Struthio camelus: one gene and its partners. The protein of the gene in region 4 binds, or shares a complex with, the protein of the main gene of each other region. Links are inferred from orthologs where the notes say so. Each region holds a gene or a part of one and is shown on either strand. Other genes may lie near its edges.

The links.
Region 1: the proteins of CDC42 (region 4) and ARHGAP1 are in contact, whole or in part, in a crystal structure (PDB 1GRN), measured with the Homo sapiens proteins. The link is inferred for Struthio camelus from reciprocal best matches to the Homo sapiens genes CDC42 and ARHGAP1. Residues at the interface, in NP_001034891.1 of Homo sapiens: Asp11, Gly12, Ala13, Tyr32, Val33, Pro34, Val36, Phe37, Gly60, Gln61, Glu62, Asp63, Tyr64, Arg66, Leu67, Leu70, Ser88, Glu91, Asn92, Glu95, Lys96, Asn132; in NP_004299.1 of Homo sapiens: Glu278, Gly279, Phe281, Arg282, Arg283, Ser284, Ala285, Asn286, Thr287, Gln288, Asn309, Glu310, Val316, Lys319, Arg323, Asn385, Lys386, Met387, Asn391, Val394, Val395, Pro398, Asn399, Trp402, Ala403, Lys404, Ala406, Ala407, Thr409, Leu410.
Region 2: the proteins of CDC42 (region 4) and FMNL2 are in contact, whole or in part, in a crystal structure (PDB 4YC7), measured with the Homo sapiens proteins. The link is inferred for Struthio camelus from reciprocal best matches to the Homo sapiens genes CDC42 and FMNL2. Residues at the interface, in NP_001034891.1 of Homo sapiens: Val36, Phe37, Asn39, Gln61, Glu62, Asp63, Tyr64, Asp65, Arg66, Leu67, Arg68, Pro69, Leu70, Pro73, Ser88, Glu91, Asn92, Lys94, Glu95, Lys96, Pro99, Glu100, Thr102, His103, His104, Pro106, Lys131, Asn132, Lys133; in NP_443137.2 of Homo sapiens: Ala41, Met42, Asn43, Leu44, Pro45, Lys48, Leu52, Tyr55, Lys59, Glu62, Leu63, Asp66, Gln67, Arg69, Phe70, Lys73, Tyr79, Arg108, Glu109, Ile112, Ser113, Leu114, Arg115, Thr116, Asn117, Ile119, Val122, Asp219, His222, Met226.
Region 3: CDC42 (region 4) and CRK share a complex: the UniProt entries of both Homo sapiens proteins name them as parts of the collagen stimulated complex. The link is inferred for Struthio camelus from reciprocal best matches to the Homo sapiens genes CDC42 and CRK.

Annotation. Positions count from the first base shown.
Region 1 is NC_090946.1:39,735,459-39,743,035, reverse strand, and holds the start of ARHGAP1 (rho GTPase-activating protein 1), read right to left. Parts: upstream 3,009-7,577; 5' UTR 2,942-3,008; intron 1-2,941. Other genes in the region: ZNF408 (zinc finger protein 408), read left to right, coding at 3,097-3,383, 3,427-3,722, 4,608-6,523. UniProt on the Homo sapiens protein: GTPase activator for the Rho, Rac and Cdc42 proteins, converting them to the putatively inactive GDP-bound state. Cdc42 seems to be the preferred substrate.
Region 2 is NC_090947.1:44,704,100-44,711,776, reverse strand, and holds the start of FMNL2 (formin-like protein 2), read right to left. Parts: upstream 3,007-7,677; 5' UTR 2,917-3,006; coding exon 2,800-2,916; intron 1-2,799. UniProt on the Homo sapiens protein: Plays a role in the regulation of cell morphology and cytoskeletal organization. Required in the cortical actin filament dynamics.
Region 3 is NC_090957.1:15,834,729-15,842,036, forward strand, and holds the start of CRK (adapter molecule crk), read left to right. Parts: upstream 1-4,293; 5' UTR 4,294-4,350; coding exon 4,351-4,594; intron 4,595-7,308. UniProt on the Homo sapiens protein: Involved in cell branching and adhesion mediated by BCAR1-CRK-RAPGEF1 signaling and activation of RAP1.
Region 4 is NC_090962.1:12,587,262-12,594,688, reverse strand, and holds the start of CDC42 (cell division control protein 42 homolog), read left to right. Parts: upstream 1-4,416; 5' UTR 4,417-4,537; exon of another isoform or gene 4,538-4,577; intron 4,578-4,855; exon of another isoform or gene 4,856-5,081; intron 5,082-7,427. Other genes in the region: C21H1orf50 (uncharacterized protein C1orf50 homolog), read left to right, coding at 592-774. UniProt on the Homo sapiens protein: Plasma membrane-associated small GTPase which cycles between an active GTP-bound and an inactive GDP-bound state. In active state binds to a variety of effector proteins to regulate cellular responses. Involved in epithelial cell polarization processes.

The DNA of each region.
Region 1 (7,577 bases), on a different chromosome or scaffold from region 4:
ACAGGCAGACCAGGCTCCCCAGATATGCCCACATGCTTTTCGCAGGCAGGCAGGCAGGCAGGCAGCTCTATTCTTTGGCTCTAGGTTTCAGGACAGAAACATTAACTGAAGAGGGATCCAGAGCAGAAGAGCTCTTGGAATTTTTGTTCTTCCTGTGACCCAGTCTCTAGCTCTCAGAGAGCTCTAGAAGGCTTTTCACAGAGCTTCCCCCACCACTTTCCCAATAGTGCAAAACAAAAAAGTACAGGGTCTCACATGAGATAACCTTTGAGCATTTTAGAGAAATAGTATCCTCGAACTGCCTAGCAATAGGCAGACACTGAGAAAGAGAGACCCGGACCTGAGAGGCAGGATGCAAGAAACTAATTGAGGGCCTTAGCATAAGGGAATCCATTTTATTTCCTGACAGAGTGCAGCCGCATGAGATTTTTCCCTGTCTACTCAAATGCGACCTATAAGCAGAACCTGTCACTGAAAAGAAAGTCCACCCTTTCTCAGTGTAAGGATGAAACAGTTGTTCAAGAACAGCATTTGATTAAACACGCAACACAATTTAAGTTCTCTGCTTGCTTTAGTTAAGCATAATGGCAAGACGTAAATTACACGCCCTGTATTAGCCAGTCATAAGGCAAGAAAAATGATATATCTAGATGTAAAAAGTAAAAAGCATAGTCAAACATTTAAAAACTAAAGAATCATATTTGACATCAGAAGCATTTACTGCTAGGATCTAAACTACTTCCTTTTTTCCAAGTGTTTAAGTATGGTTTCTGCACCTATACTGGTTTACCTGAACATTTGCTAAGCATGTGCTTTGCTTTCTAATAAGAATTGGCTTTCTCAGTAGCAGAGAGATGTGCTGTAGAACAGCATGTTCTGTTAAAGGCGAGAAACCTCAGGCTTTTAAAATATAGTTTTTACCCAAGTTCTGGGCTGGAGACTCCTCCTTACACAAATCTCAACAGAATCCAGCCAGGGAAGACGGCCCACCTGTGTCTATGAAGTCTTGGTAGCTGCTGCTCACACAGACTTTCCTTCTTTTTGCAATTCCAGTTTTGCTACTCCTTTTGCTACTCATGTCTCAGCTATACCTACTCTGCAGTTTCCGTTTCCTGTTTTTCCTCTGGATGTACTACTAATTCAGAAGTAAATCTACATACAAATCTACATCAAAACATATCCATCCCTGTATTAGCATGCCCTGTACACATATTTACAAGCAACAAAGAATTACAAAAGTCAAGTGGTTTCTTCTCCCTTGACTTATTAACAAGCAATGCTCAGACCCAAGAGCAATCCACATTCTGGGGCTGTTGTATTATTTTTCTGACTCTGCTGTCATCTGCCCCTTCCCAGTTTAGGTTAATTTGCACAGATGTCTGGTTTTCGTGGCACACCAGCCAAGTCCCTGCAGTTCACTACAGTCTTAATATCAAACACAGAATTAGCCTATGTTCAGTAGCAACACCCTAGAAGTAAGAACATCAGGAGTCAACATCAGAAGTAAAACTCAAATTAGGCACGGCTCAGCCCCACAGAAGGGCTCCTCTCCCCACTGCAAGAAAAGCAACCAGTTGCTTAGCAGCACATCTTCCAAGTACGCAGGCTCTGCGTGAACAAGGCCCAGGACTGAAGGAATCGCTGAGAAAGTCCTGCGCAAGTCCTGCCTCCCACCAAAACTGATCATACCACTGAGAGCACCACTCCCCTGAAGTAGTCAGAGAGTCAACAGCCGGGCTGCCTCTGTCTGGCTCCCTAACGACCAGATAACTCAAGAAGCTATTGCTTCTGGAATAAATTTGGTCCTTCATTACTGTAACAGCTTCTTAAACCAGTAGCATTCCTTCCCCAGTCATCCCAAACACTTAGCTGAAAGCCACCCCCGTGCCCACTAGAAATTCAGCCTGACTAGCAATCAACCTCCTCCAACCCTGCAAACAAACCAGCAAGACAGCAAAAGAGCTGAGCTCAGCTTCCTCGGTCAGAGCCCCAGCACAAGCTCCACCGGTTGTTATCAGTGCTACTCGGGACCCACCTCTTACACAAGCAGTGTGGCTGCACTTGAGGAAACAAGGGCACACACAGCCCTAAGGACAGACTGTGCCTTTCCTCCTCCCCTCTGCCGTAAGTCTGATCCTCTCGGATCTGCTATGACTGAGCTTCTATGAAAGCCCAGATTCAAAGAACAGACTCAAAGGCGGGTTAGCTATTTACATAGTTTAAAAAAAAAAAGAAAGGAAAAAAGTTCTGAAAACACATGCCAACTACACAGTAATATCAGGAGGGACATTTAAAAAGCCAGGCTGTTAGGCACCAAAGCGGACGGCCCGTCAGCCCCCAGGGCCCTGCTGCGGCTTTCGCACACTGTCTGCGGCGATCACCAGCCACTGGGCTGCTGCTGGAGCTGGGCGAGCAAGCAGCCGGCTCTAGAGCCCGACCAAGCGCAACTGCCGCGCGCCAACCTCAGCAGTTACTTAGATCGTGCCAAGCGCAAAAAAAAAGTTACGAAAAACTTTCCCGGCCTTTGAGCCTTGCTTTTCACAACCCAGCTGCTGCACCACGGACCAGCCCCTCGGACGTTTTGCCCCAACGCAGTTTTCCCCTCCGAGTCCCGCCGCCCTCAGCGCGCCACAGGGGGCAGCGAGAAGCGGCAGCCGGCGCGACCCTCCCCGCGGCGGCGACCTTCCCTTCAGGAAGCCCCCGGGGGGCTCCGGCGGCCGGCCGGCGAGCAGCGCCCCCGCCCGAGCCGCCCGGCCCCGGCCCCGGCCCCGGCCCCGGCCCCGGCCCCGGCCCGGCAGCGCCAGCGGAGGCCTCGGGCCCCGCGCGGACAGCCGGGCCCCGCCGCCGCCCCTGCGCGGAGGGCTCCGCTCCGCTCCCCCCGCCCGGGCGGTGCCGCCCGGCTCCCGCCGCCGCGGCCCCGGAGCTCGGCCGCCGCCGGTACCTGCCGGCCCGCGCGCCGCCGCCGCCGCCCGCCGCCCCGCCAGCATCCGCCGCCCGCCGGAAGCGCGGCCCGTCGCCACGGGAACGCGCCCGCCCCGCGCGCCGCGGGAAGCCGTCCGGGCGCGCCCGCCGCCCCCTCGCGCCGTTCCGCCGGGCATGCAGCGCCGCCGCCGCCGCCCGGGCCCCGGCCCCGGCTCCGGCTCCGGCCCCGGCCCGGCGCGCCTGCTGGGACCCGCGGGCGGCGGGCCGGGGCCGGGGCCGGAGGGCGACGCGCGGGGCGGGGAGGCGGCCGGCGCGGCGCTGCGGAGCCTGCCGGCCGGGCTGGCGCTGGGGCCGTCGGGGGCGCGGGAGCGGGGCACGGGCGTGTGGTGCGTGGGCCGGGCGCTGGCGGCCGGGGCGCTCCTGGGGCCGGCGGCCGCCGCCGAGGGGCCCGGCTGGAGCAGGTGAGTACGGCGGGGCGCCGCCGGTGCGGCCGTGCCTTTGCAGCCTGCTGAAGCCGAGCGCGAAGGAGGAGGAGGCCAACGTGGCGCTGGTGCGGGTGGGCGGCCGGCTGCACGTCCGGGCCCGGCGGCCCATCGCGGCGGGCGTCGAGCTGCTCTACTGGCCCGAGGGGGCCGCGGCGGAGGGGAGGAGGCCGCCGGGCCGGCCCCAGGGCACGGCCGTCCCCCGGGAGGCGAAGCCGAGGGGGCAGCTGGCTGCGGCGGCCGTGGCGGCGGAGGTGGAGACCGTGGTGCAAAGGGAAGGGGCCTCTCCCCGGGGGAAGGCGGCTGAACCCGCCGCAGGTACGTCCTTTCGAAGGACCGGTGTCCCGGCCTCGGCGGGAAGGTCAGGCGGAGGCGGTCTGGTCTTCCCGGGCCCGAGACTGCTCGTGACCGGGCTACTTCAGAGCTCACAGTGAGCCTGCACCAGCATTACACTGTCCTCCAAGATCTTAAATCCTCAGGAGATAATCGGAAGGCCTTTTTTTTTGGCCTAGACAGCTCCCACTTCCCAAGCAAGTGGGTAGCAAAGCTGCCTTTCCTCTCAGAAACATGGGTTTGCTGTCAGAAGGAAGGATATTACCCATGGTATCTGCACAGTGGTAGGATAAACATAAAGATGAGCCAGATAACTTCCTCTCACTAAGCTTGGTATGGAGAAATTTCCCCTGGGGAACTGTCCTCATTCAGGGTGTTTAGGGTGTTTTCCTCAATGTCTCCGGTGGGAGGTGGCTGCCCCCTCATCTGTTCCCTCACACAGTATGGTTACAAGAATCCATATGCCCTTCAAGTTTGAGCAATGCTTTCCTGGCATTTCTTACCCATATTTGAGACTCCCACAAATGTGGTGCTGCTTTTGAACTGGCTTCTGCCATGCTAACCCTGCATCCCTCCAAGACTTTTGTCCTGACTCTGCATCAGATCAGGAAGTACCAGCCAAGAAAGGAAAACGCCATAATGTTTTAGTCTTTAGCACTGGTACTGTCTGTGGTGAGGGGATAGAGATTCCCCCCACTTTCCCCAGTTGAAAAAAAAAGTCATAGAAGTGATGGTTTTCATTCTAGAGCCCCAAGACTATTGGATAGCAGAGTGTCTCTTTCTGAGGTTCTTGCTCCTCTGATCCAGCAGCAATCGTGTTATCCGACAACAGCCAGCATTAATTCACCCCCATACTTCTGTGTTGTGCAGGGTATCCTGATATCTCCAAGGTGGTAACTGATGAAACCGCAGTCCTCGATGTCCCTACTGAGGTTAGGAGGCTGCCAGCCAAACATCTCCACAGGCTGCAAGAAGAGGAAAGCACAAGTCCTCAGCATGAGCTGTGGCAAGCCAAAATGCTGAGGACTGAGAACCAGCACCTCAAGACCATCTCAGCCACTAAAGCCAATAGCAGGTGCAAGGAAGAATCGGGCAACGCTGTAGATCCCAGAACCACGGCAGAAAAGGCAGAAATGGGGCAGGGAGAGGCAAGTCCAGGAGACCTGCACCTGTTGTTGCCCTCAAGTGGGGTTGGACTCAGTGCTCACTTGGCTAGCAAGCCATGCAAGGTGCATGCTCTGACCGCTCAGCTCCAGAAGTGCCTGCAGGACTATGGTGGCATGAGAGCTGGGCAGGAAACCCAGCAGCCCACTCCATCTGAAGGAGAGAACACAGAGACCTGCAAGAAAGAGAGAAAAGCTTCCACAGACTCCAAACTGGCATCCCTAGAGAATGGAGAAAAGGGCCCACCAGATGGGCCTGAGGAGAAGGAGTATGCAAAGCTGGAGGAGGCTCGTTCTGGCAGCACAGGCCTCCCAGCAGAAGCTCTGTCCCAGAGGGAGATTGTTGGCAAGCGCAGGTACCGCTGTGGGGAATGTGGCAAAGCTTTCCTGCAGCTCTGCCACCTCAAGAAGCACCGCTTCGTCCACGCTGGCCACAAGCCCTTCCTGTGCACAGAGTGTGGCAAGAGCTACAGCTCAGAAGAGAGCTTCAAGGCCCATGTGTTGGCCCACCGGGGTGTGCGGCCTTTCCAGTGCACCCAGTGTGACAAGGCTTACCGCACAAAACGAGACTTGCAGGAGCACCAGGTCCTGCACACGGGCCAGCGCCCCTTCTCCTGTGAACAGTGTGGCAAGGCCTTTGCACGCCGGCCCTCTCTCCGCATTCACAGGAAGATCCACCTGGCCACTGGGCCTAGCCCAGTTGGTGCTAAGGGCTGCCAGTGTGCCATCTGCGGACGCTACCTGGCCAACCCCGGCTCCTTGCGCAACCACATGCGCCTGCACACCGGGGAGCGCCCTTATGCCTGTCCCTACTGCAGCAAGGACTTCCGACAGCAGAGCAACCTGCGTGAGCACCTCCGGCTGCACACAGGCGAGAAACCCTACAAGTGCCGCTTCTGTGGCGATGCCTTCCCCAAGCTGCCAGAACTGCGGCGCCATCTCATCTCCCACACAGGTGAGGCCCACCTATGCACAGTGTGTGGCAAGGCGCTGCGGGACCCCCACACACTGCGTGCCCACGAGCGCTTACACACAGGTGAACGCCCCTTCCGCTGTGAGCAGTGTGGTAAGTCCTATACCCTGGCCACCAAGCTGCGCCGCCACCAGAAATCCCACCTGGCTGACAAGCCCTACAAATGTGAACTCTGTGGCATGGGCTACACCCTTCCTCAGAGCCTTGCACGCCATGTGCTCACCCACAAGGCAGAAAAGGACCCGGAGGAACTGGCTACTGCAGTGGCCTCCCTCAACGCAGACCTGCCTCAGGCAGCGCAGAAAAGGCCTCAGAGGAAAGGCCACCAGGAGGAGGAGATGGCAGAACCCACCTTGCTCATGGTGGAGGTGCCAGGGACAGCAAATGAGGCAGAGCTGCTGATCACAGCCAGTGGTCACTGCATTGCTACTTACCAGTCCCAAGGCAGCCCGTTGGATCCTGGGGCACACAGGAGGCCTGCTGGGCATTTGCCGTCAACCAAGGACATCATTGAAATTACCATCTCTGAGCATGACGACAAGTGCATTATTGTGCAGGATGAGGGCTCACCAAGCGACATGGTCATCATCCAGGAGGGGGTGGGCTTTGGAGCAGTGGCGGAGGTGGTGGAGGTCGAGACTGGGCTCTGACTACCCCAGCCTGTCCTGGCTGATCACATTCAGTATGGAATATTAAAATAGGGTAAAGAAACAACAACGAAAACTAGCTGTGTCATCTCTCTCTGACAACAAGACCCTGTGGCTCAGCCCCAGGCAAAATTAGTGGCCTTGAAAGTAAATAGCCTTGTAGACCTGGGTCTTTTTGGCAGCCATCCCTCCTAGGTACGGGCCTACATGTGCCACTTGCTGGGACTGGTGCAGGGAGGGCATTTGCTGATGATGGGAAAGGCTTTTTAAAGAGGAAAGCCCACAGCTATAATGAGCAGTGCCCCTACTCTGTCTCTTCTTAGGTTGTCAGTGAGTGACAGTGAATGTATGCAGAAGGCAGGGACGAGTCTGAAAGCAGCAGCTTTGGACAACCCCTTCCTTTCAAATTTTTCTGTTCCTGCTTGACTGCTGCTATTCAACTACTTTTACTTGCCTGGGCTTTTACTCTGAAACTCGGCAGTATTTCTGAGCCTTTGCAGGTGATGCTAAACGCCAGATTTTGCTGGGAAGCAGCTTTCAAAGTGTTTGCAAGGTGTCTGTGTGCGGGTTTTTTGAAAAGCATTTTTCACAATCAACAGAAGCAAAGCCTGGCCTTATAGCCAGGGCTGAGTGTTCTTCTCCACTGTCACCTGCAACGCTTGCTGTAGGAAGTATAGTAACTGGATGGTATGCCTGAGGACATTAAAGGATAGCTTCATTTCTCACAGTAATAGTAGCATTGGACAGTGCAATTTTTGGTGTCCCCAGCTGAGACAGACAGTTCATTTCAGTATGCTCAGGAGATTTTGCCTTTCCCCTCCACATTCAAGTTAGGTTTCTTTTTTCTCATCTGTTTGCCCTTGTTCTTTTTCTTGCACTCTTGCTTCTTCTCTTCCACTTCTCCCTTGCCCCTGCCCCAAAAGCTAAAAGACAGCACCACCACAACTAAACTCCAGTTTTCCCACCTTCCCATCTTCATGACAGAGTGCTCATTTGCCACCCGAGCCATCCTGAATGAAATTGATCCTTTTTCAGGCGGGAAGTGCACAGTTCCAGA
Region 2 (7,677 bases), on a different chromosome or scaffold from region 4:
AATCTCAAGAATGAGGCTAACCAAGGAGGCAGCAAGACGACTACATGTGTTTAAAGTGGACAAACTACTTCATCAGAGGCCTTTTTCAAAACTGAGGCTGTTAACAGTTCAACAAATGCCAGCTGCACCCATGCATCAACTCCACACGGTCCTAGGTGCACCACTGTTCATCCCTCTGATGAAGAGGCCACAGAGCTGTTTGAGAAGATTAGGAGAGTATGTTCAAAGTGGAAAAAACATAAGGATAAAAGTCAGTGTTACGGCACTTATGGTAAAAACTTGACCATCCTGTGCCTTAGCCATGGACATAAGCGTGTTTTAGAGTGCTTGTCTGCGTAAAACAGCATAGTGAGCCACAAGGAGAGAAGAACGAAACTTTTAAGATACTTTCTTGAGGCCACACAGAAGAAATCTTGCCCACATGGCCCCACGGTTTATATATACAAACGGAGACGAACTGTTTAATGCAATGACTGTATACACGCATGTGGCAGCAACTTGACTGAGCAGCACGTTCATCAACTTCAAAAACAGTTTTGGAAAATTCATTAATGGTAAGAAAATCACTACTGCCAGCAAGGCCCTTTAGGATCTCATTGGGGCACTCTATTCAAGGAAGGGTTATTTTAGACTGTTTCCTTAAGACAGCATGTAAAGAAGGTGAGATTTTTTCCTACAAACCTCTTTTTTCATATTCTCGTTTCCTGACAAAACCTCTCTTCCTACAGAAAATACTCTTCCCCCTCCCCCCAGGACTGCCATTCCTTTCTCATTAATCTCTGGGTAGGCCATAGAACAGCAATTCTACGGTCTAACCAGCAGTACTGCCATCTTCCCTCAGAGCTGCAGAGAAAACACAGTAATCACAGCCTTGTAGTTTATTCTTTCATAAACTGGTCAAATGTTTCCTGGAAGCTACAACAAATACCAGCCATCCCTGGCTGGCTTCAAGAAGAGGCTAAAGGCAGTTGTTTTCGTGCTGTTCCAATTGTGGCATTTGAGCCCCATCTTGCAGCTCCTTCTCAAAGGAGCGGACCAGGCATCCAACAGACCATTTTTAGATATGAGCCTGCACCGGCTGCCAGTCCCCAGAGTAAAAGCTATAGGACTGGTCCCTAAACCCTTAATTTAAGTCCATCTTCTAAAAAGAGTTGCTATCTCCTCCTTTCAAGTACTTTAAGAGGAACAAGCCTGTAATTTCTTATCCCAGACGCTTGCATTATATGCGTCTAACACACTCTGTTTTCCAAATGGTGTCCCTTCCTTTTACTGATCTAATTCAACTGGTCCTAATTCAAAAGCACTGTTTTTCTTCTACAGACCGTGCCCGCAGATTAAGTTGGACGTCCTTTTGGTACGGAAAGATGAATTGACTTGATTCTGACCGAAGCACTGCACATAGGGATATCTCCCCTGTCAGTAAAGGGTCTACAGATTTCACCAATAAATGAAGGACAAAAATTAGGCTTTTTCACTATGCCTAATAATCATAACATCTTACCATTTGGTTCATCAGTGGGGGCTCCCAATTGAATAGGCTTATTCTTTTCTTAGACATGATAATCTAATTGGGTCTAACCAGAAATAATCCTAAACACATACCGATTTGACTCGGAGAATCCTCACTCAGCACTAGGAGTATTTCCAGAAGCCAGGGGATTTTGAAATCTAATATCTAGATCTAGATATCTATCTAACATCTATTATGGGAATTACTGTTATAATAGTTAGTATCACTGAGTTTCACATGATGTTACAGTGAACTCAGGGTATGGCGTGCACATGTGTTTTATTCATTCCTCCCCAGCTTCTGTTTTTCACGTAAATATTGTTCAAACGTAAGAACTACATAGAAGAATACATGGATTGTTATAGCCTAGTCAAACTATTTAAACTTCGGAAACAAAACAGGACTTTTGCCCCAAGCACTACTGTACGGTACCAAGAGAAGTACCGCCCTTTCCTTGAAAACTGTCCGAGGAACTTGATTTCTAATCCTGAGTACTTTGTGCTATTCAGGTGAAGGGGAAAAAAATATATATATATATCTATACATATAGATAAATAGATAGGGTATCAAACTCCAACAGAAATGCCTACAGCCAAAACCAGCACAGCGCGCGATAACACGAACGCACGTACATGTCGTTTGTGTGCCTGGCCATATCACGCCTCAGGCAGAGATTCATTGCTTCTTTTCCTTTTCGCTGCAAACCCCCCCAAAACGGACTGAAACGGTCGGGGCCCCTGCCTGCACACACTCCCCCGGGAGACAGGCTCCGCTGTCTAGGAGCCAGGAGAGAGGCAGGGCAGCGGAGAGAGGGGCGAGGGGGGCGGCCCGCGGCCTCGCCGGCTCAGCCCACCGCGCGCTCCGGCCGTCGAAGATCAAACCCCCGGCACCCACCGATGCCGGGAAAAACGTGAGCGCGGGGCAAACCGAGGCAGCTCAAGCGCAACGCGATTCTTTCGGTGACTTCCCAGACAAAGGCTGCTTCTCCTCGGCGGCCACGACAGCCTTCCCCCCCCCTCCCCGCCAGGTGCCCGCCCGCCCGCTCCCCACCGAGCCCCCCCCCCCCCCGCCCGGGCGGCCACGGGGCATTTAAAGGCGGCGGACGAGCGGGCCGGCAGGCAGCGCCGCACCCAAACCCAACTTTCCCCCCCACACACACCTCCCCATTTCCAGGCACTTGGAGGCGTCGTTCCGCCTCCTCCGCCCCCCAACGCGCAGCGGGCCGGGGGGCAGAGGCGCGGACCCGGCAGCGCGGCGGCCGTTGGGGGGCGGCGGGGGCCGGCACTCACCAGGACGACGGCGAAGCGCTCCTCCAGCTCGCCGGGCTCGGGCATGGGCAGCTTGAGGGGCACGCTGTGCGCCCGGAACTCCGTCTGCTGCGCGTCCACGCTCCCCGCGTTGCCCATGGCGGCGGCGGCGGCAGCGGCGGCGGCCGCGACCCTCCGCGCTGCCTGCGCGCTCCGCTCCGCCGCGCCGCCGAGCGAGGCGGGCTGCGCGCCCCGCGGTCGCCCTCTAGCACCGACGGCGCACAGCCGTCATGGCTCGCCGCCCTCGCCCTCCCACCCGGGGCGGGCTCGCTCCGGCACCGCGGCGGCTCCCCCGCATGCCGCCCCGCGGCCGCCGCGGCCCGCACAAAGCCCCGCTCCGCCCGCCTTGCCTCGCCGCGCCCGGCCGCGCCTCCCCTCCCCGCCCCGCGGCCAGATGGGACTCGTAGTCCCGCCGGGGGCCGCCGCGTCCTCGCCGGCGGGAAGGGGCCGCGCCGAGGGGGGGGGGAGGGGCCGCTCGTGAGGGGAGCGCTGCCCCGTGAGGGGGCTGCGCGCGGGGGGAGGGGCCGCGCCTCGAGGGGGCTCCGCACGCGGGCGGGAAAGGGCCGCTCGTGAGGGGAGCGCTACGCCGTGAGGGGGCTGCGCGCGGGGGGAGGAGCGGCCCCGTGAGGGGAGCGCGGCCCCGTGAGGGGGCTGCGCGCGGGGGGAGGAGCGGCCCCGTGAGGGGGCTGCGCGCGGGGGGAGGGGCCGCCCCGCGAGGGGAGCGCGGCCCCGTGAGGGGGCTGCGCGCGGGGGGAGGAGCGGCCCCGTGAGGGGGCTGCGCGCGGGGGGAGGGGCCGCCCCGCGAGGGGAGCGCGGCCCCGTGAGGGGGCTCCGCGCGGGGGGAGGAGCGGCCCCGTGAGGGGAGCGCGGCCCCGTGAGGGGGCTGCGCGCGGGGGGAGGAGCGGCCCCGTGAGGGGGCTGCGCGCGGGGGGAGGGGCCGCCCCGCGAGGGGAGCGCGGCCCCGTGAGGGGGCTGCGCGCGGGGGGAGGAGCGGCCCCGTGAGGGGAGCGCGGCTCCGTGAGGGGGCTCCGCGCGGGGGGAGGGGCCGCCCCGTGAGGGGAGCGCTGCCGTGTGAGGGGGCTCCGCGCGGGGGGAGGAGCGGCCCCCTGAGGGGGCTCCGCGCGCCTCCGCGCCCCCTCAGCGTCCATTTTAGGCGCGCTGGCCGGCAGGGGAGAGACGCCCTGAGCGAGGGCGCAGTTTGGAGGCAGCGCGGGCCCCCCTCTCCCCCGAGTGTTTTGTCTTCGGCGTGTGGGCTACAGGGCGCAGGGACGACGGGAGCAGGGCTTAATTTCTGAACGGATGTCACTGTTTGGGTTAAAAGATGCTGCCTTTGGAGGCTTGCTTGTCTCGAGTCGTTGCCAAGCTTTCTGCCTCGCAGTGCAACTTGCGACAGTGCAACCTCTGTGTAATCACGCAAACCCTCTTTCTCTCAAGCATGTCGAGTTCTCTTTTTCTTCAGATGCTATTTTCCTTTTTTTTTTTTTTAATAATTTCCTGCCAGCTCTCTCCACTACTGTGTTTTAAGTGTTGTGACCGTCAAACCTAGACTTCGTTAACCCTTCAGCCGGGGGAGTTTCTTAGAGGTGGCCCCCTTTTCCCCCATCCTTCTCTGTTACAAACGCCAAACCGAGCGGCACAGTACCGTCCTTGGGTTTTGAGGAAAATCCTGCAACTCAGCGAAAGGTAGTATTGACCCATTTGGTGACTATGCTGCGTTAGTGATTTATATCTGTTTAATTCTCCAGTCTAAGACCTAGTTCTTCTTCTGTGACCCACCTGCCAATCCGTATTCCTCTCTTTTATATTAGCATTCGATTATCCTTCCAAAGAAGAACGATTTTTCACTCAGCTTTCACCTTCGTGATGATACACTTACTGCTATTTCTCCCGCCATTCAACGTTTATTACGTGTCCTGTTACTGCTGTGTGCTGCTTTGCCCCGCTTGGCCTTACAGTGCGTGGGTGCGCACGTGCGTCCCCATGGTGCAGAACACGGTGCCCTCTCAGAATTATAAATAAAATTACAAACATCGTTTAACACTTTCAGTGGTCAGCTATGAAGTTCTGCATTTTGCTGCAGGCTACTTCAGGAAATTCAGTCAAACTCATGAATCAGACTACTCAGTGAGTTACCTCTTACTAATGTTAGCTGGAAGTCAATAGTAAACAGTAGCAATGTCAAACTCATTTCTTCAAAAGCTGTTACAGTCATTCCTTAAAAGTACTGTTTGACTCATATTATTACCAGCACATTCAACAATGGGGTTTTGCCAGATCAATGAATATCTACTAGAGTGATGGAGCGTTTTTGCCTTCGCCTGGTAGGAGATCGTAACGATCCACATGGAGATTAATTTGTAAAAAAAAAAAAAAAATAAGAGAGGCATTACGGTTTAGATAATGAGCATTTTTAAATTTATCTTATCTAGGATAATGATTTTGCTAGAGGCACAACTTTAAAAGCTGCCACAGAAACAATACATCGAAAGTCACGTGCTGCAATATGCATAATCTCCTATTCAAAACTGAAATAAAAGTGAGCATTTCTGCGTATATTCTCTAAAACCACTACTAATTAAATGTGCTCATCCTTTTTTCTCATTACAAGAGACTTTAATGATATATCCACTAATAGGATTGTAAGTGACACATTTTATCCTGACGTACATCTCAACTGGTTACATTGCCCACAGAGTGTGGCAGAATTTGACCCAGAATCATGAATGACATCATTAAATGTGCAAATTTACACTCTGCTAGCGTCAGAGCATGGGATTTAAAAGTGTGGCGCTGTTAGAAATGTTGTTATCCGACGGATAGATCGAAATTTCCTAAGGCTGTTTGGTTAAAAGCCTAAAAATACTTCTGATAGCCTTCATAAAATAAGTTTTAAAACCATAGGCCGTTCTTAGGAGTTAATAACAATGTTATTGTTAGTAATTAAGGAAACACTAATAGATACTTTCCCTGACATCTTCTATCTAAGAGTATCAAAATTCTCTGAAAGATTAATTAGTTAATTAAGCATCACAACACGCCTGTGAGATAATGGAGCATTAGACTATCACAGATAACAGATGAGGGTCAGAGTACAGGGCCGTGGAAGACAGTTTCTAACCATGGATACCTGATTTTTTTAGCAGTAGATCAGCCTGTTTTGTGAAGCAGTCACTGCTCCCAGTACTCGTGCTGCAGAGTAGCAACGTCCTCACCAACAATGGTAAGCAGGTTATTTGCCCTATATTACGTAGGGGAAAGTGAAAGGTGCGAGGTAGCTTTATAAAAGAGGCCTGGGTGTCACTACCGGCTGCCCAGTGACTGTATAGTTCATTGCAAGAATGCTTGATACAGACAGCGGTCACCGAGGCAGGGCAAATCCTCCGTCCACGCTTCTCCACCTCCTCCAGGGAATTCTTCAGGCACCAGACTTTAAGCCACACGTACTGCTTCCCGTTTTCAGGCAGAGTAAGACTTTAACAATAGAATACTTTTGAAATACAGAGATGAGAGAGCAAATAAAGTTTGCCCTTGACAGACATAACATGTAGGCTTGAATCCCATAGGGAAGAGGAGGGAACTGAATGCAGTCTTTTCATCTTGGCTGGAGCTGACCACAGAGTCACTGGGTAATAAGGGGGCAACCAGCAAACTAGCAACTTGCAAAACCAACTAAAGGCCAGCCTCCGTTTTGAAGTTCCTTTGAAGAAGGAAGAAGTTCTTTACCAGGAGAGCACTGCAGCGCTGGAGATGTTATCCGGCGAGGCTGCGGGACTGCTGTCCCTGAAGGTTTCCTGGCCTTGTAGCTGAAGCCACAGCCGATGTGGTCTGACACAACAACCAACAGCAGGTTGGACTGGAGGCCTCTGGAGGGGCTGTCAGGGCTGGGGGTGCCAGCAGGCTCTCGGGACCTCAGGGTTTGGCTGCCTGTGCTCGAGGTCTGCTCTGATGTGGTAAACTTGTAACTTGGGATCAGGCTGCTACAAGATGGACCCAAGAGGCACATCGCCGTGCAAGCTCACGCCTCAGCCTTCACCCGCAACACAGCGCCCAGCCGCTGGCCCGGCACGCTGGCTCGGCTTCCCAGCGTCAGGATGGGTCTGCTTGGCCACCACTGGCTGTGGCTGTGCTGGTTGCTGCTGCCGGCCCGGCCCCACTCACCAGTCCCACAGCTGTCAGAGGAATGGACTGCTCCATGCACTGCGCATGCTTCTGGCTGACAACCAGATGGACTGTTTAAGACATTAATTGCTGAACAAACTATTCATTTATATGAAGCCAAATACTGTACCTCCTCCTCCAGCTGTTTTGTGCACTTTCACATGCTGCATATGCTCTGAGCAGACTGAGTTTCCAGGGGAAATTTTTGGAAAAAATATCACATGGAAGGATTCCTGTGGAGTTCAGGCAGAGATGAACCATGAACTACCCAGGACCAGCAAGGCTGACCCTCTGACAGGCACCCCCCACGCTCCCGAGGATCATCGGCTCCCTCAGAGTGAAGCAGCAATGGGGCTTCTGGGTCTTGCAGTTCTGGGTTTTGCAGATCCATCACTAGGTGCTTCGAGACTGGTTTAGGTTTGCTTTATTTTGTTTTTTAAGTACAGGGAGACTATTAATTACCTAGGACCAGAACAAACTAACTCCGCTATAAAGAGTCCTAGCATTTGCCCAGTCAATAACTCACGCTATGGAGGCACCTCCAGAGCTGCAGCTTTCTGAATGCAGGGGAAAACCTCACAGCATTTTTAAGTCCCTCTAGATGAAAGATGACATTTAGGAGCGGGTAGCCGCCGCTAGCCGCATGTACCTGTGCAAGGTTAGGCTAATTGCAGGTTAAACTGGATTCTTTGGCTTGCACTT
Region 3 (7,308 bases), on a different chromosome or scaffold from region 4:
GGCCCGCTCTGGTGCGCCTCAGCGCCATAGAGACGCGGTGAGAGGGCGGCTCCGCGGGTCCTCCAGCGTTACGGATCGGCAGAGGGCTAAAGCGGCCATTTTCCCCACAGACAGCTGCTCGCCGCGGCCCTGACCTCGGGGCGCTGAGGGAAGGGCGAAGGGAGGCAGGCGCGCCGCCTTCCTCCAGCCCTCAATGGCGTCGCTTGCAGCTGATACCCCTGAGTGGATTTTTCTGTTGTGAATTTGCTGAGATTTTGAATGCCTGCCCCGCCTTGGGCAGCACTGAACGTCTGAGTGTGAGGAGCAGGCCTTGGATCCGTGGGATCCTTTCACATGAGCCGCTGCGCCGCCATGTGCTCTCCTATGTCTGGAAAATTAGAGCAAAGCAGAAAAGTCGTAGGGAAAAGAATACATGCTGTACAGAGAAATACAGAATGAGATGGAGGGGATGGGTTGTAAGGTCCAGACCTTGTCAGCGCAGGCTCTGCTTTCTACAATGACTTTTATAATGATCTGACTCCTTAAAATGTTAGTGTGTTTTTTTTTTTTCTCCGCTCCCCTCTGTTCTATAGGAAGGTCCTTCTGGATTTCTACACATCTGATGAAAGAAATCTAATTTCCAGCTTAAAAGTTATTCATGGCAAGTCTCTAGCCTATTGTTCTTGGGCTGAGTTTGGGCTATTTTAACAGAAAAGTCCTAGCTCTTCTTGGCCTTCCTTTCACTGGGCTAAGTCACACTGTTTGGATCCATTATCATGAAACAAATTCTTCATTCCTCTAATTATCCTAATCTCTGTAGTTCAGCTATATCTTCCCTGGACACAGCAGACCAGAACTGTGTTTTAGCTGAGGGCTCGCTAGGGCTTTAGTCAATGGCATCAGCGCTTCCCCTCCGCGGCGAGACACCGCAGTTGATATATTCCACCGTGGCAGCTGCGTTTTGTCAGCTGCATCACATCTGCAGCTCACAGTCACTTTAAACTAACCTGCTCAGGTTACACATCCACCTTGGTTGTCACATCCAGCCAATTTCAGTAGAAATTCCTCATATTTCTTGGGCTGCTCCATTCCTCAATTTTGTACAATTTCTGACCAAAACCCTCAAAATTATCCCCTGTGATATGTCGCCTTTCCTTTGATTTGATAGTACTTCCCAGTAAATTTCAGTAGCCAATTTTGACTTTTCCAGCGTGGTGTGGAGAGATTTTGTAGCTGGCAACGTAAAGGCTCCTGCCCTTATACGTACTCCAGTGGGACCAATATTTTTTCTCACTACAAGTCACACCTTCCAGGCTTACTATTTTTAACAGTCTCTGTGTAGAAGTCCTTACACAACAGCTAATGTCAGCTGCACTCCTCAGCGTGCTATATTTGGTGCTGACATCATGTAGCTAGTATCTGGCAAGAACCACAGAAACATGATACTTCCAAACCAGATGTGAACAGTTATGGCAGAGACCAAACACACATACGTAACATGGACATGTGAGTAGTAAATAGGACATAAACAGCTGATGAAATTCTGGAATGAGTGCAAGAGGAAACACATCTCTGTGGCAGAAATGCTATTTCTCCAGAACATGGTCCACCAAAAGGTGGACCTCTTCCTCCTCTTAGTTTTCATTCTGTAAGTAGAAACAGTATTGGCATCTGTGATCTAGAGCAGATTTATGGTTAGGATGGGGTTATGTGACCCCAGGTTCTCTAGCATTGCAGTTATTAGAGCAGATGAAGCCTTCAGTTAGCCCAGGTATTTCCTTAATTTTATTTTAACATCCTTGAAAGCAAGAACATTTCTACTGATTAACTGTGGTTTTAGATCAGTTGCTGAAGTTTTAATGCTCCTTAGGAAAATTCATCTCTAGGCGGACTGGCAGGGACAGTGAAATCAAGTTTAGCTGCACTGAGAGAGGAAAACCACGCAGTTAAGGAGAGCTCGCACTGGTAGCATTTTTGCTCTCAGGTAGGTCAATGGAATCTTCTCTTGGTATCTTACAACTTCTTTCAGAATCTTGTTTAAATTTTTAACAGTGAATTCTTCAGAATTACAAACTGATCTAGTTTTATTCTTCTGAAACTGTGGCCAAGAACTCTGTTGTTCCTTCCCATTCATCTCAGGCTGCAATCCTCTGCCTTTGAAAGGCCAGCACAGGAATGCAGGTTTGGGCATAAGGGCTCCGCCTTTATCGTAGCTTTTGTTCAGAAAGGATGGGTCAATGGTAGTAAACCACTGCAGAGTGGAGGGCTTACATAAGTGCTACATACGGAAGGGAAGAGGGGAAGAGGAATTTGGGAAAGGTTACCTGGAGAAGCCCTGAGTAAGCAAAGGAAACGTGACAAATAATGAGGGTCAGAGAGTGACTCAGAGTTAGAAATCATCCTGGCACAAAAACGGCAAAAGGAGCTGCTTTCATCGGGAGTTTCACTCATTTCCCCATCACTGACCACCAGAGGGAACTCTTGCAATAAGATTCCCAACGGCTTGCAGTAGGGAAAGCCAAACCATGCATGTAAACCTCCTCCATCTCCTGTAGTTTCGTGGTTCAGCTCAAAACAGAGGGTGATGGGGTACAAGGGTGGGGACCGGGAAGGGAGATAAAGCAGCAGTTTGCGGGCCCTCAGTCAAAAGCGGTCTTTTTTACAGTGGTCTGGCAGGAGTCAGAAAAATGAAGAAGTTTGCCATTTTAAGAGTTTTTTGTTTTTCGTTTTTTTTTTTTTGGACTGTGAACCACTGGACAGAATGGACACTTTTTTGCTACAGTGATTTAACTCTCCTAGATTATTTGGCTCTCAACAAGAAACTGCGGCTGCAGCTTTCCAAATTTGTGACTAACTTGGGCATGGAACTGCCAAAGACAGGTAATTCTGCAGCTGGCTAGCAAACTCCACATGTCAGTAGGGGGAATTGAGCTCTGGGTTCCACATGGATGGTGACTGTCTCCTACCTACTGTCAATCTGGAGAGAGAACAGGATCAGCAGGGGAAGGATGTTCCTTTGTTAAACTATTGCCAAAGCGGATAGATATCCAGCACCTCGTGTCTTCTTATGGATTTGGTGAACAACAGTTTCCCACCTGTAAGACACAGGATATATTTTCTCGCTAGGATATTTTGAGGGTTAATATGATCCTAGTTACCTGATTTATGCCAAAGTCCCATCTGTAAGATAGTTACAAGGCTTCAAAGTGCCCTACAAGAAAGAAGAGGTTCAGTCAGCCAGGCTTGAGGACAGCACCATCACAGTTAAGGACAGCTGTACTCCAACGTGGTATTTATGCAAGTGCTGCCACATGGAGGCCACACAGTTGAAAAAGCACATTCCTTTCTGGAAAAAGCTCACAGAACTGAGCAGAGCTGGAAAAGAATTCAATAGACATCTATCCAGGCTCTACAGACATTCCTCTGGAACTTAAGAGAGACCTTGGAGAATAATCTAGAAATCTAAATTTGTGCATGCCCACATACACGTTTCTCTGTGGCAGGCCCCTGCAGTAACAGAGTCAGTGAACTGATCTGGGTAAAAATAACCTTTTTCTTTTGCAGGCCTGTTTTTAACAGCTCACTGGCCCAGTTCAGCACGTAGCCTCATGAAAACAGCTTGTGCTGGCACAACCCTTGGCTGGGGGGGAAGCTGAGGGCAGGAGCTACTGCTGCCGGTACACCCCCGGAAGAAAGGGCACATGGAGCTGCACCCTTTGCCGGCCCATCCTGAGCGCAGACAAGCCTGGCCTCACACGAATTACCAGAGGGAGCTGCGGGCCCCCGTAGCTGGGAAGCCATCAGGGAACTGCACAGGCAGGGGGCTATCCTGCAGCCTCGTAACGGGAGGAGCCGGCCGCAGAGGCAAGCCCCGGCTGCCCTCCCGCCTCCCCGGGGCCCTGCTCCCGCCGGCCCTGAGGGAGTCGGCGCCAAGCGGCTGGGAGAGCGGCGGCCGGGCGGCGAGGAGAGGCGAGCCCTGGCGGGGGTCGCTGCTGCGCTCGGGTACCCCGAGGGGGTCATCCCGGTGGCGAGCAGCCCTCGCCGGTGTCCGTACACCGACGCGGGCGAGCCGGGGTCGCCAGGCCCGCCCCGACCGCCGCCATGTCCCCAGTTCGCCTCAGAGCCCGACCCCCCCTCCCTACGGCGCATGCGCCTCCCCCTCCCCCTCCCGCTCCTGTCCCCGCGCGGAAAGATGACGCCACGCCTGCCCCGCGTCTCCCGCGTGCGGTCACATCCGGTAGGTGAGGTCAGGGCAGGGGCCGCCATTTTGGGTGGCAGGGCTGGGCTGGGCGCGGAGCGGGGCACGGCGGGCGGCGGCGGCAGCCCGCGGGGGGGAGGGGAGCGAGCGCGGCCTGCGGGCGGGCGGCCCCCATGGCCGGGCAGTTCGACTCCGAGGACCGGGCGAGCTGGTACTGGGGGCGGCTGAGCCGGGCCGAGGCGGTGTCGCTGCTGCAGGGGCAGCGCCACGGGACCTTCCTGGTGCGCGACTCGGGCACCATCCCCGGCGACTTCGTGCTCTCGGTGTCCGAGAGCTCCCGCGTCTCGCACTACATCGTGAACAGCCTGGGGCCGGCGGGCGGCCGGCGGGCCGGCGGCGAGGGCCCTGGGGCCCCGGGTGAGTGACCCCCAGGGCTGGCAGTGCCCCCCAGCCCCTGCCGTGCCGGGGAGGGCGGCCTCCCTCCCCCCGGCCTGCGCCTCCCCCTAGGGGCCCCGCGTCCCTCCCCAGCGCTGCTTCCAGCCGTGAAGCTCTTTGTAGAGGAATTAAGTCGCGTTTTGCCGCTGGGGCTGGTGGCCGAGCTGAGGCGTTTGTCCGCACCAGCCTTAAACGACCTGATAACGTAGTTAAGCTTAACACGGGGACTGTGCGCTCCTTGCAGCCCTCCTGAAAGATCCGATGGCTTTAGTGCTCGCCTGTGCTTTTGTTTTCATAAAACTGCTAGCGGTAATTGATAGACGGTGCATGCCATCTCTGGGGGCCTGGGGACCCTTCTGTGGATATGTCACCTGAAAGAGCTGATTTCTAGCGAGGTGCTTCTGCGTTAGAAGACAGACTTCGAGGCTTACTTTCAAGTTGTAAATCAAAGTGTTTGTTGGGTAGTTCAAGTAGTGGGAAATCCTGAGGAACATAAAGGCAATTTTTCCTTTAAATCAGATGCCAAGAGAGAAAAAAAAAACTTCACATCTTTTGAAAAGGAGGGTTGATATTGTTCCTCATCACCGTAAGATCTAATATGAAAGAAAAGTGTTTAAATGCAACACCTATAGAACAGAAGATACTATTTGTGTCAGAGGGAAAAATGGATCATTAGAGCAATTCTGAAAGTATAGACATAACTAAATGAATGAGAGTCCCCAGTGGTGCTTGATCCTTAGATGTATAAGTGAGAATGTTGAGTTAAAAGGTAGCAGTGTCCCTGCTGGGGGCATTACTGAATGCGTTACTAAAACTACCCAAGTTTCGATTTTAATGCTTACAAGATGATGTGGGCATATCATCTAGCATCTCAGGAAGGAGCTACTATAAAGTTTTGAAGTCTGGGAGACCTGCTACATGATAAGAGATCTGGCTAACTTATTTGCAGGAAAGTAAACTTAGCATATGGATTGCTACAGAGCCCACCACTTTCTGATGTAGGTATTTGTGTCTGGAATAATAGACCTGTATTGGGAAGATGCAGCAATATCTGCTGTAGGAGGATTTTTCGGTCTTTGCATGGACTTCAGCTGACTATGGAGGAGTCAACCTAAGAAGAAGCAAGCCTGTTGCCAGTAGGTTTGCACCATTATACAGTGATCTCCCCTGCTCAGGGGAACGTTTAAAATTGGCCAATTTGGAAAATCCTGAAGGCATTGCGTTATCCTAGGAACCTGTCATTGCTGCCAAGCGCACCCCAAACACGAAAAGCTTCACAAGGTAGAAGTTAAAGGTGGCTGAATTCAGCTGGAAGTAAAGTGGAAATCATTACCTCCGTGGGAAGTTAAATATTTTGCCAGAATACATGGTGAATTCCTCATTGCTTGATGTCGGTCAGGACAGAGATTTTTTGTTGTCATAGGTTTACGGAGGCTTGATGCAGGAATTACTGTGCAAAATGCAGGATTGGTGTTAGGTAGAACACAGGAAGTTACCAGGATACTCCTCTGTGGAATCCAGTCTAATAGGATTGTGGAGATGGTAGTGAAGAAGGACCCTGTGGAGTATGAGTGCCAGTCACTTTGCTGGGCTGCTGTCTTTTACAGAGCAACTCTTCTCTGGAAAAACCGTATTTTTCATGTAGTTAAGTGCATATTCTAGCTACTGTGATACTGCTTTAGTAAATAGCTGTTCCAACTTTTTTATCTTACACTACGTTCTTAACCTCAGTAATGTTTTGTGGTATTCGTTGGACTGGTTCATGTTATGAGTGTTTTTAAATTTATTGTGTTTTGGTGTTTTGTTTTCTTTTTAGTCACTAAATGTCCCATAGGTAGTTATTTTCTGTCTTAAGTGTTTGTCTGTGTTAGAAGGGTAGGTGCTATTGCAGCTGTGTAGGCTGTTGGCATAGTAGGGTTAATCTATAGCAAAAATCAGTACATCTTGGTTGTCCTTGTATTTTTATTTTTTTCCTGGATGTTATGAGTATAGCTGAGGCACCGCTCCTGCGCTACAGATATTTCTGTGCTGAAGTTTTAGTGATTTTAAATTGTGCCTTTGTGCTGAAGTTGCTGTCTTCTCACTCTGAAAGCAAAGAAACAATGCTGGCAGAATTAAAAAAAATAGATTTCCTTTCAGAAAAACGTAGGTGGAGGGGGGGATGTTCTGGAATGGGAGGGAGATGGAACCGTTGGTAGAAGATTCAAGAGGATTTCGTACTTGGATAGGGAAGGTAATGCAATAAAACAAGGTAAATGTTTGCAAATTGTCATATTTATTTATTTATTGTGATCAAGTTATTTTCATTATTGTCATAATTGTCTCTATAGTATAACTTTCTTAGCAACTGATTGTATTTGAAAAATGCACACCTCTCACTGAGAAATCTAAATATGCCAGATCAGGTTATTACAATGATTTCTGTTAGTCTCAGTTAAGCAGGTGTGTGATTCATGAGTGCTTGAAGTTTGCTGTGTGCAGATTATACCAGGAACGTAGCTTCAATACAGAATGAATGAGATGAGGAGCTTTGTCTTCCCTAATATAAAAAGCCTTAGAGTTTCACAAAAATGAAATATCTTCCATTTCTGAAGTATTAAAAAAAACAAAACCCTTATTTTCTTAAATCCAGCTTTTGCCTGATATGCTACAGTTTCTAACTTTGTGCAGTCAGTTTTTCAGCATGAGGAAAATGA
Region 4 (7,427 bases):
CCATTTTCTCACGAGTAGGTTGGACGCTCCAGAGCCAGGTCCTTAATGATGAAATGAAGGACTGTAGTGACCTCTGTGCCCTGCTGCCATCCTCAGATTATGGCTAGAAAGGCGCCACAGCTCCGTCACTAGTTGTGGGTCACTTTTCCGTTCCGTGTCCAGCTGAGACCAAAGATCTCAATCCACCTCTGGTGGGCTAGCCCGGTGTGGGCTGCCCTCCCTGAGAGAGTGGGCAGTTCCTCTGAAGTGTCCAGGTAAGAGCTCAAATGGGCGCTTGAAGCAGATTTTAATACTCTATAAAGAGAACAGAAAGCAAAGCACTGAGCCGGCTGGAGGAACTGGGCAGGGGACAGGCTGATAACCCGTCCCCAAACCTCCCCACGTCAGCAGTGCCGTAAGTCAGCCTGGTCTCGGACTCAGGATAGCTTCATCCTGTTTTTAGGTTAGAAAATGAGACAGCTGTGTGTAACTGGGACTGCCTCAACAGTGGTATGGCAATCCGGCACGGGTAGAGAGGCCAAAAGACAGCCAGCATAGCCTGGCCCCGAGGGAAACAAGAGTTGTGACGTGAATCTGTCCTCTCTCCTCCAGGAATGGGGGACCAGCCCCCACGAGTTTCTCGGCGCCTATAAGCTCCAGCACGACATGTCCTGGACTCCCTTTGAGGACATCGACAGGCGAGATGCTGAAATAAACATCCTGGACAAGCTGCTGAGCCAGCAGGCAGCGCTGCCTCCGTGTACAGAGCCCAACTTCCAGGGTCTCACCAAGTGACGTGAGCCGCCGTGACCGTACAGGACCTCTGAGCAGAGCCCCTGCGAGAGGACAGGCCGGCTGTGCCCGAACGCTGCCGAAGGCGGGGCAAGGAGAGAGATCCAGAAATGAAAACGCTGCTGCCGCCGATACTTGCGCTGTACTTTAATGAGACTAATTCCAAAATCAGCCTTACTGGATTTTCTGGTAATCGAGTAATTTCTTTCTTTGACTCGTGCCAAGCTCTAGCGAGAGGCAGATATCAGATGGAGTCAGTCCAAGAGGGCTTGGGGCAAAAAGCAAAATCACTTGACGCAGATGTGATAGCGCTATGAAATACGTCCTGCCTGTCCAGCCACGGTGTACGACTCTGCGTCTTGCGCTAGGTAATCATTTCAGGGCTGGGTTTCGGCCCTGATGAAAAAGCACATATTTAGGAAGCCCTCTGGCCGGGGAAGAGCAGTTAAAGCCCCATGCAGAAGGGTGTGTTGTGAGCTGAGCCTATGGGTCTCTCCCAACAGCGTTCAAGAGCCTGTGACTTCCATATGAGGTGCCCTGGAGCTCTCCTGGCTGGGAAGAGCATCCTCAAAAGGACCACGCAAGCTTCAGGCCCTTGGCCTGGCTGCTGAGGGTTGGAGCAGGCTGTGCGCTCTTTGAAGGACGGGTTTCCATTGGCTTCAGCGGCTGAGCTGCCAGGGAGTGACGGGGAACGTGCCGGGCCCTGCACTCTTGTTTTATGTTGAGTGTGGCTGTGGCAGAGCACTGGAAAAAATGAAATAAATCTTATCTTGATCTCACATGTACTGCCGTGACGGGCCCGGTGTCCTGTTTGCATGGCTGACGTCCCTTCTCCTGCTGTACCAGGGAGGCTCGCTGGTGTCTCTCTGTCTTGCGCCGGGTGCTGGGGAGATGCAAAGATCAGCGCTCTTGAGAAGATGCCCTCCATCCATCCAGGCATGTAGATGCCGTGGGGGTGCAGGGCTCCTTGGGGGTCTCTCTTGCTCCGGGTCTTGCCAGCAGGAGAGCAGCTCTCCCTCCAGTTTAGTTTCCCTTCAGCAGGGGACAGCCTCTCCTTCGGCTTCCAGCCTGCATGCGCTGTGGCAGGCTTTTCTTTTCTTGCCTTGTGCTTTCTCTTCCGGGTGCAAGTGCAGTCCCCCCCTCTCTGAGCTTGCCTTTGAGCTTTGCAGTTTTGCCCTCTGGCTGTTGCAAGATCAGCAAATCCTGGCTGAGGAGCTGCAAATCGCCTCCCGAACACCCGGTTTTACCGGCCGTGGCTGCCGGCAGCGCAGCTCCTCCGGCCTTCCCAGGTGAGGCAGTCATATTCACTGCAGCCTCCGCAGCCTCCACTACCTGTAACCCTGCGTTACCTAAAGGCAGATTTTTAGCTGGCAGATTTTTAGCTTTTCTGCCCCAGCGAGAGGCATGCGCCTACTCGTTCGGGATCGCTCTCTTCTGGCCCTCGCACCCCTGGCATGCCCTGGGAGTCAGGACATGCAGCCTGCTCAGCTCTCCTGGTGCCGCCTCGATGCTGGAGATGATAAAGACCATCTGTCCTGGAGCAAGTCTCATTCCTGATTTCTCGATGGGGGGCCGACTCCTATTTCATCCCACAGCCGTGTGTGCTGGGAGCCATCCTGGCTGCTTGGATCCGACCCACCAGAAGACGTCCCGGTCCTGTGGAGGGATGGGAGGTTTGAGGCTGAGCTCCCCGACAGCCCGAGCGTTTTCTTTCCTAGTTTTTTCCCCTTCCAGCTCTGCCGGATGCAGCAGCTCAGCCCCATCCTTCTCCGGTTGAGTCTTTGGTTGGCAGAAACCTGGTCCTCGGAGTTGATGCGGGACTTTTCGAGGAGGTTTTCCCAGCGCACCCCTCCCTCACTTAGAGCACTGAGCAGATAAAAAGCAACGTATTATTATTATAAGAAAGATCAGGGTATAATTAATTCCTTATCAAGTGGCAAGTGCCTAATTGGATGGGGCTTTTTCCCCCCCCTTGTTGCATAGCCCCAGGCATTATTTTACTGCATGTTATTAAATCTCAACTTGGAAGGTAGAAAGTTAATTACTGCATGGGCTTTTCCACAGTGCTAATTACAGCAGCAGCAGAGATCTCCATGTGTGCTGATTTACGCTCCTCTGGGAAGAGGTATTCCTGCCCCAGTTTTATTTCTGTGACAGCGATCGTTTTTCATCATTAAAATCCGTACGGTGACGTACACGTACGAGGGGATTGGGGTGATGCCCTTCGTAGCTGCCGAGCCTGTGATTTTACAGGCTGGCTTTTGGCCGTCTCGGCGGGCGGCCGCTTTCATCTAATCAAAAGCAAAGAGCTGGAAGGACGTCAGAAGTACCGAAAGATAAGTCAAGAGATGCTTTTACGCAGCCCGTCCTGGGGGAAAAGGGCGAGCAGGGGGCCGCTGGCAGAAAAGTGGGACGTGCCGATCTCGAGCTTCCTGCAGCGCTCGCAGCCGAGGGCCGGTTTTTGTCCCAGCGTCGCCCAGCGCCTGAACCAAACAGCGCGTGAAAACGGAGAAGCCGGCCCTGCCGAAACCACGGGAAGAGCTCCGGGGAGGATTTCCCTAGGCGTTTCCAGGCTCGCGATCTCATCCGCTCGGCTCGACCTCTGGCAAGCCGTTTCCTCGCCGCCTCTTTGGGTCGAAGGGGTAGGAAGCATCAAAAATCAGCCGGGAGGAGCGGGCGGGATACCGGTGCCAAAGGGAAGAGGCCTGAGCTGCCGGCACGCTAGGGGTTGGCCCTGTCTTGCTCCTACGCGTGCCCCCCCGCCTTTGATTTGGGCGAACGCGTGCCGCCTTCCTCGCTCCGAGGAGCAAACCCGCGGGTAAGGAGCGAACGGGGCGGCAGGCGTTGGTGACTCACGTCGGAAAACCTCGCCGAAGGTGGGCTGGGGATGTGGGTTTTTGTTTGGTTTTTTGGCACTTCTGCGAGCAAAGAAACTATCGGGCTGCGTTTCAACTTCGAAAAGGCCCTTTTCAGCCCGCCTTGTCGTCGCTGCGGGATCTGAACGAGAACGGCCCGGCGCCTACGTTTGCTGGCTCTTAGGGATGCCGCGAGCCTTGTTGCCTTCTCCTGGTCCTGAGCGGGGGGGTTTATTATTTATTCGATGGTAATAAACGGTGCTGAGAGCGCGGGAAACGTCCGTCTGATGTGATAAAACCGGTTCAGCTCTTGTCTGCAGCCTTCGTTGGATTGCACGTTTTGCAAAAGCACAGAAGCGGGGCTGGGCGCCGCAGGCTGAACCCGCCCCACGGCAGTGGTTTTCAGCCTCGCCAGATGGTTTTCGGCCGCCCCCCACCCCCGTTAGGGATTTTGCGCCGCCAGCTTCCTCCCGCTCCTTCCACGTTGCCTACTCGAGCCGCGGTGCGAGACCCGGCTTTCGGGCCGGTTTAAACGCTTTCGGGCGTTTAATTCATCTAGACAAGTTTCCTCTTTCAGCCAAAACGGCCAGGTTGCGAGTCCCGCCACCGGGCCGCGTGCACGGCGCTGCAGGCCCGGGGCCGGGGTCCTATCGCCACCAAGACCAAGCTCCGGGCCGCTCCGCTCGGCCCCGGTGCTCGGCGCTGCAGGCGGCGGCGCGCGCGCGCGCGCCCGCGGCGGGGCGGGGCGGGGCGGGGGGGCGGGGCGCCACCTCCCCCTCCGCCGGCTCGGCGGCGCCCCGCCTCCCCGCCCCGCCCCGCCCGGTGCGTGATGACGTCAGCGGCGGCGTGCCCCTGTGCCTGAACGGAGGAGACCCCGCAGCGAGCTGCCAACGCCCGGCGGAGACTCTGAGGTGAGAGAGAGCGCGCGGCGGGCCGGGCGCTGCCGCTACCGCGACACCCCCCCCCCCCCCCGGCGGACCGCCGACCCCCCCCCCGACCTCTTCCTCACCCCCCCCCCAAATCCTTTCCTCGTCCGTGCGGGCAGCACCCGCTGCCGGGCTGCGGGCCGGGCCCGGCCGTGCGGGGAACCGCCCTGCCGCCGCCCGCGGGCGGTGCGGGGGGCTCCCGGGCCGCCTCGTCTCCCCTCCCCCCCTCCCCTCAGGGCAGCGGTGGGGGGGGAGGGGCGGCCGTTGGCAACGGTCGGGCGCGAGCGCCTTTGGGGGGGGGGGAGGGGCGGCGGCGCGGAGCCGCGCGGGGTTGGGGGGGGAGGTGAAGGGAGCGCTTGTGGATAGGGGGGAACCCTCCCCGGTAAAAATAAATAAACAACGAATAAAAGCGAAGGTTGGTCCGCGCTTGTGGGGTGCAGAGGGTCGGCCCTGCCGGGAGCGAGCAGCGCTGAAGCGGTTCCCGAGATGCGGCTCGGCTGTGCCTAACGCTGGAGGTAGAGCGCAAAAAGTGAGCTGCGGCCCGGGGAGGAGTTGGGAGGCGCTCCCTGGCTTTTTGTCTCCCTGGGTGCTGGGTCATCGGTTTGCCTGCCGGCCATCCTGGGCTTGTCGTTGTAGCCGTGCCGACCGGTGTCGCTGTTTTGGCCTGGGGTGGGAAGCCAGGGTGACGGTGAGGGTCGCTGCGAGGGCGCACCCCTTCCTCCGAGTTATCAGCTCCTTGCCTGTAAACTCCTGCAACAAGTCACCTTTTCCCTCGCTGCGCTTAAAAGCGTCCTATCGTGGCTTGTTAGTAATCTCCCTCATAAGTAGGCAGGCAACCATGGGAGGACGCTAGTGTAGTCAGGTAGCGCGGAGGTAAATAACCAGCGTTGTGAAACGGGTGCTTCGTGAAGGATTGCAGAATGGCCAGAAATCGCGTTGCCTTGTCTGTGTGGCTACTGCAACCAGTAGAGCCAGAGCAGCTTTGCCCTGCTCTCTTGACAAAAGCATGGTGAAGACAAGGCCTTAATGAGGAGGCCATGTTAGATGACAACTGTGTAGGCAAAAGTAGTTCAGTCTGGCCATCTGTGGCTGTCTTTGTCTCAGGTTCATCTGCGAATGTTTCCTCGCTCTAGAAAAGGAGGTGTTAACTGTCTGTATTCCAAGTGTTAAATTGCAGTGGCCCACACGCCCTTTTCTAGAGGGGAATTAAAAACCTGGATCAAGCTTCTCCTATTGCTAATTGGAATAACTCGGCAAAGTACTTAAAGCTTGTCTCTTTCAGTTAGTAAAAGACTCTTATGTAAAAATAACTTTAGGTAGAAGGCTTTTGTATTCGGACAGCTACGTGTGGAAAGTGTGGTGTTCTGCTTTATAAAGTGCTCTTTTTTGTTAGCTTACAGTTATGGGAATGTATAGGCAAATGCATATTTGAAAGAAATCTTATGGGTATATGTAAGGCTTGAATCAATATATTGGTAACTGTAGAAACGATTCTGTGTGTTCAAACTGTTCAATTATTATATGCTTTAGTAATAATGAGGCAGAGCATTTTTAAGTCTTGGCAAGAAATAATAACTACCACTGTGCAAGATAAAACATGTTCACGGTTTGCTAGCTTGTTCTGGACAGAAATTTTAATTGTTAGATTTATGTACTTTGAACTTGGTTATTCATGATCTGTGACTGATGCTTTTAGTTAGCGCGTTATACGTCCTGCTTTGGTGGTGTTTGTTGGCCTGAAAATGATGGCTGATTTGGGGAAGTTTAGTGTATTTGCAGTGTTAATATAGAAGTGTTCTGTAAATCCTACCGTGTCGGAGTACCCAAAAGGGGAACTGTAGATCTACTAAAAGAACAACGGTAAATGGAAATGGAGTACATCTGAAGCTCCTAGGGATTTCCCTGATGAGTGTGCAACTGTGATTTTCTTAACTTTCCTGTAAAACATGTGCAAGGTCGCTGTTGAATGCAGCACTAAGTAGACCTGCAGTCCTAGTATAAAAGTTCCTTTTGGTTGAAACGCAGCTGTAGTACTAAAATAAATCTCAAAGGCTTGTGAGCATAGACAAATAGACATTTAGTTAAAGCTTTTTCAACAGCTGTCTGTTGCACCAGAAATTTCAAAGTTCATTGAAATTATTGGTATAGTTGAGTCGCAATGCTCCTTCTGGGAACTCATACTGAAACATGCATCACTGCAGTTTAGATATGTGTGTAACCCGTTTTGCTCTAGAATGTGAGTGTTCACAGCTTTTAAAAAATATCTGAACTTCTGCATTTTAGCCCCCTCTTTCCTCTGCCTGCCTCTTGTGGTCAGACAAACTTTCACTGTGTCGTTAAGCTAGATCTTACGGTTTTTCAGTGTCCCTAGCTTCTGCAGTAGCAGGCTTTGTGAAGAAATTGCAAGGGGATGTTGTTATCCTCACTTTTGAGGCTTAATTCCCCCTGGGGAAAGTAGAATACTTCTTTTTGTACAAGATTAGGGTGCTGCCAAATTAAATGGGTGTGAAATTGATTTTTAGTACGCCAGGTAGCAAGAAACCCTTCTTACCCACTTAGCGTACTGCAGGCTTCTAGCTTGGCTCCTGTCACCTCTCTATGTTAAACACATGACAAAAAAAAATTTAAGTATTTAATATATGACAAATAACTTCTTGACAAGGTAAGTTTTTATGCTGAGGCTTTAAAGAAATTTAAAGTAGGTAGACTTCAGAAAGTTGTCCTCGTTTAACGAGGTGGACATCAAGCTTCCTTTAAGCTCTGTTGGAAGCTCATACGTAACATTAGCTAAGGACATCCATCAGAAAAGATTGCTGCTGGAATTGGTATATGAGACATTTTTGCAGAGTATTTCAGAGGGCTAAAACTTGACCTG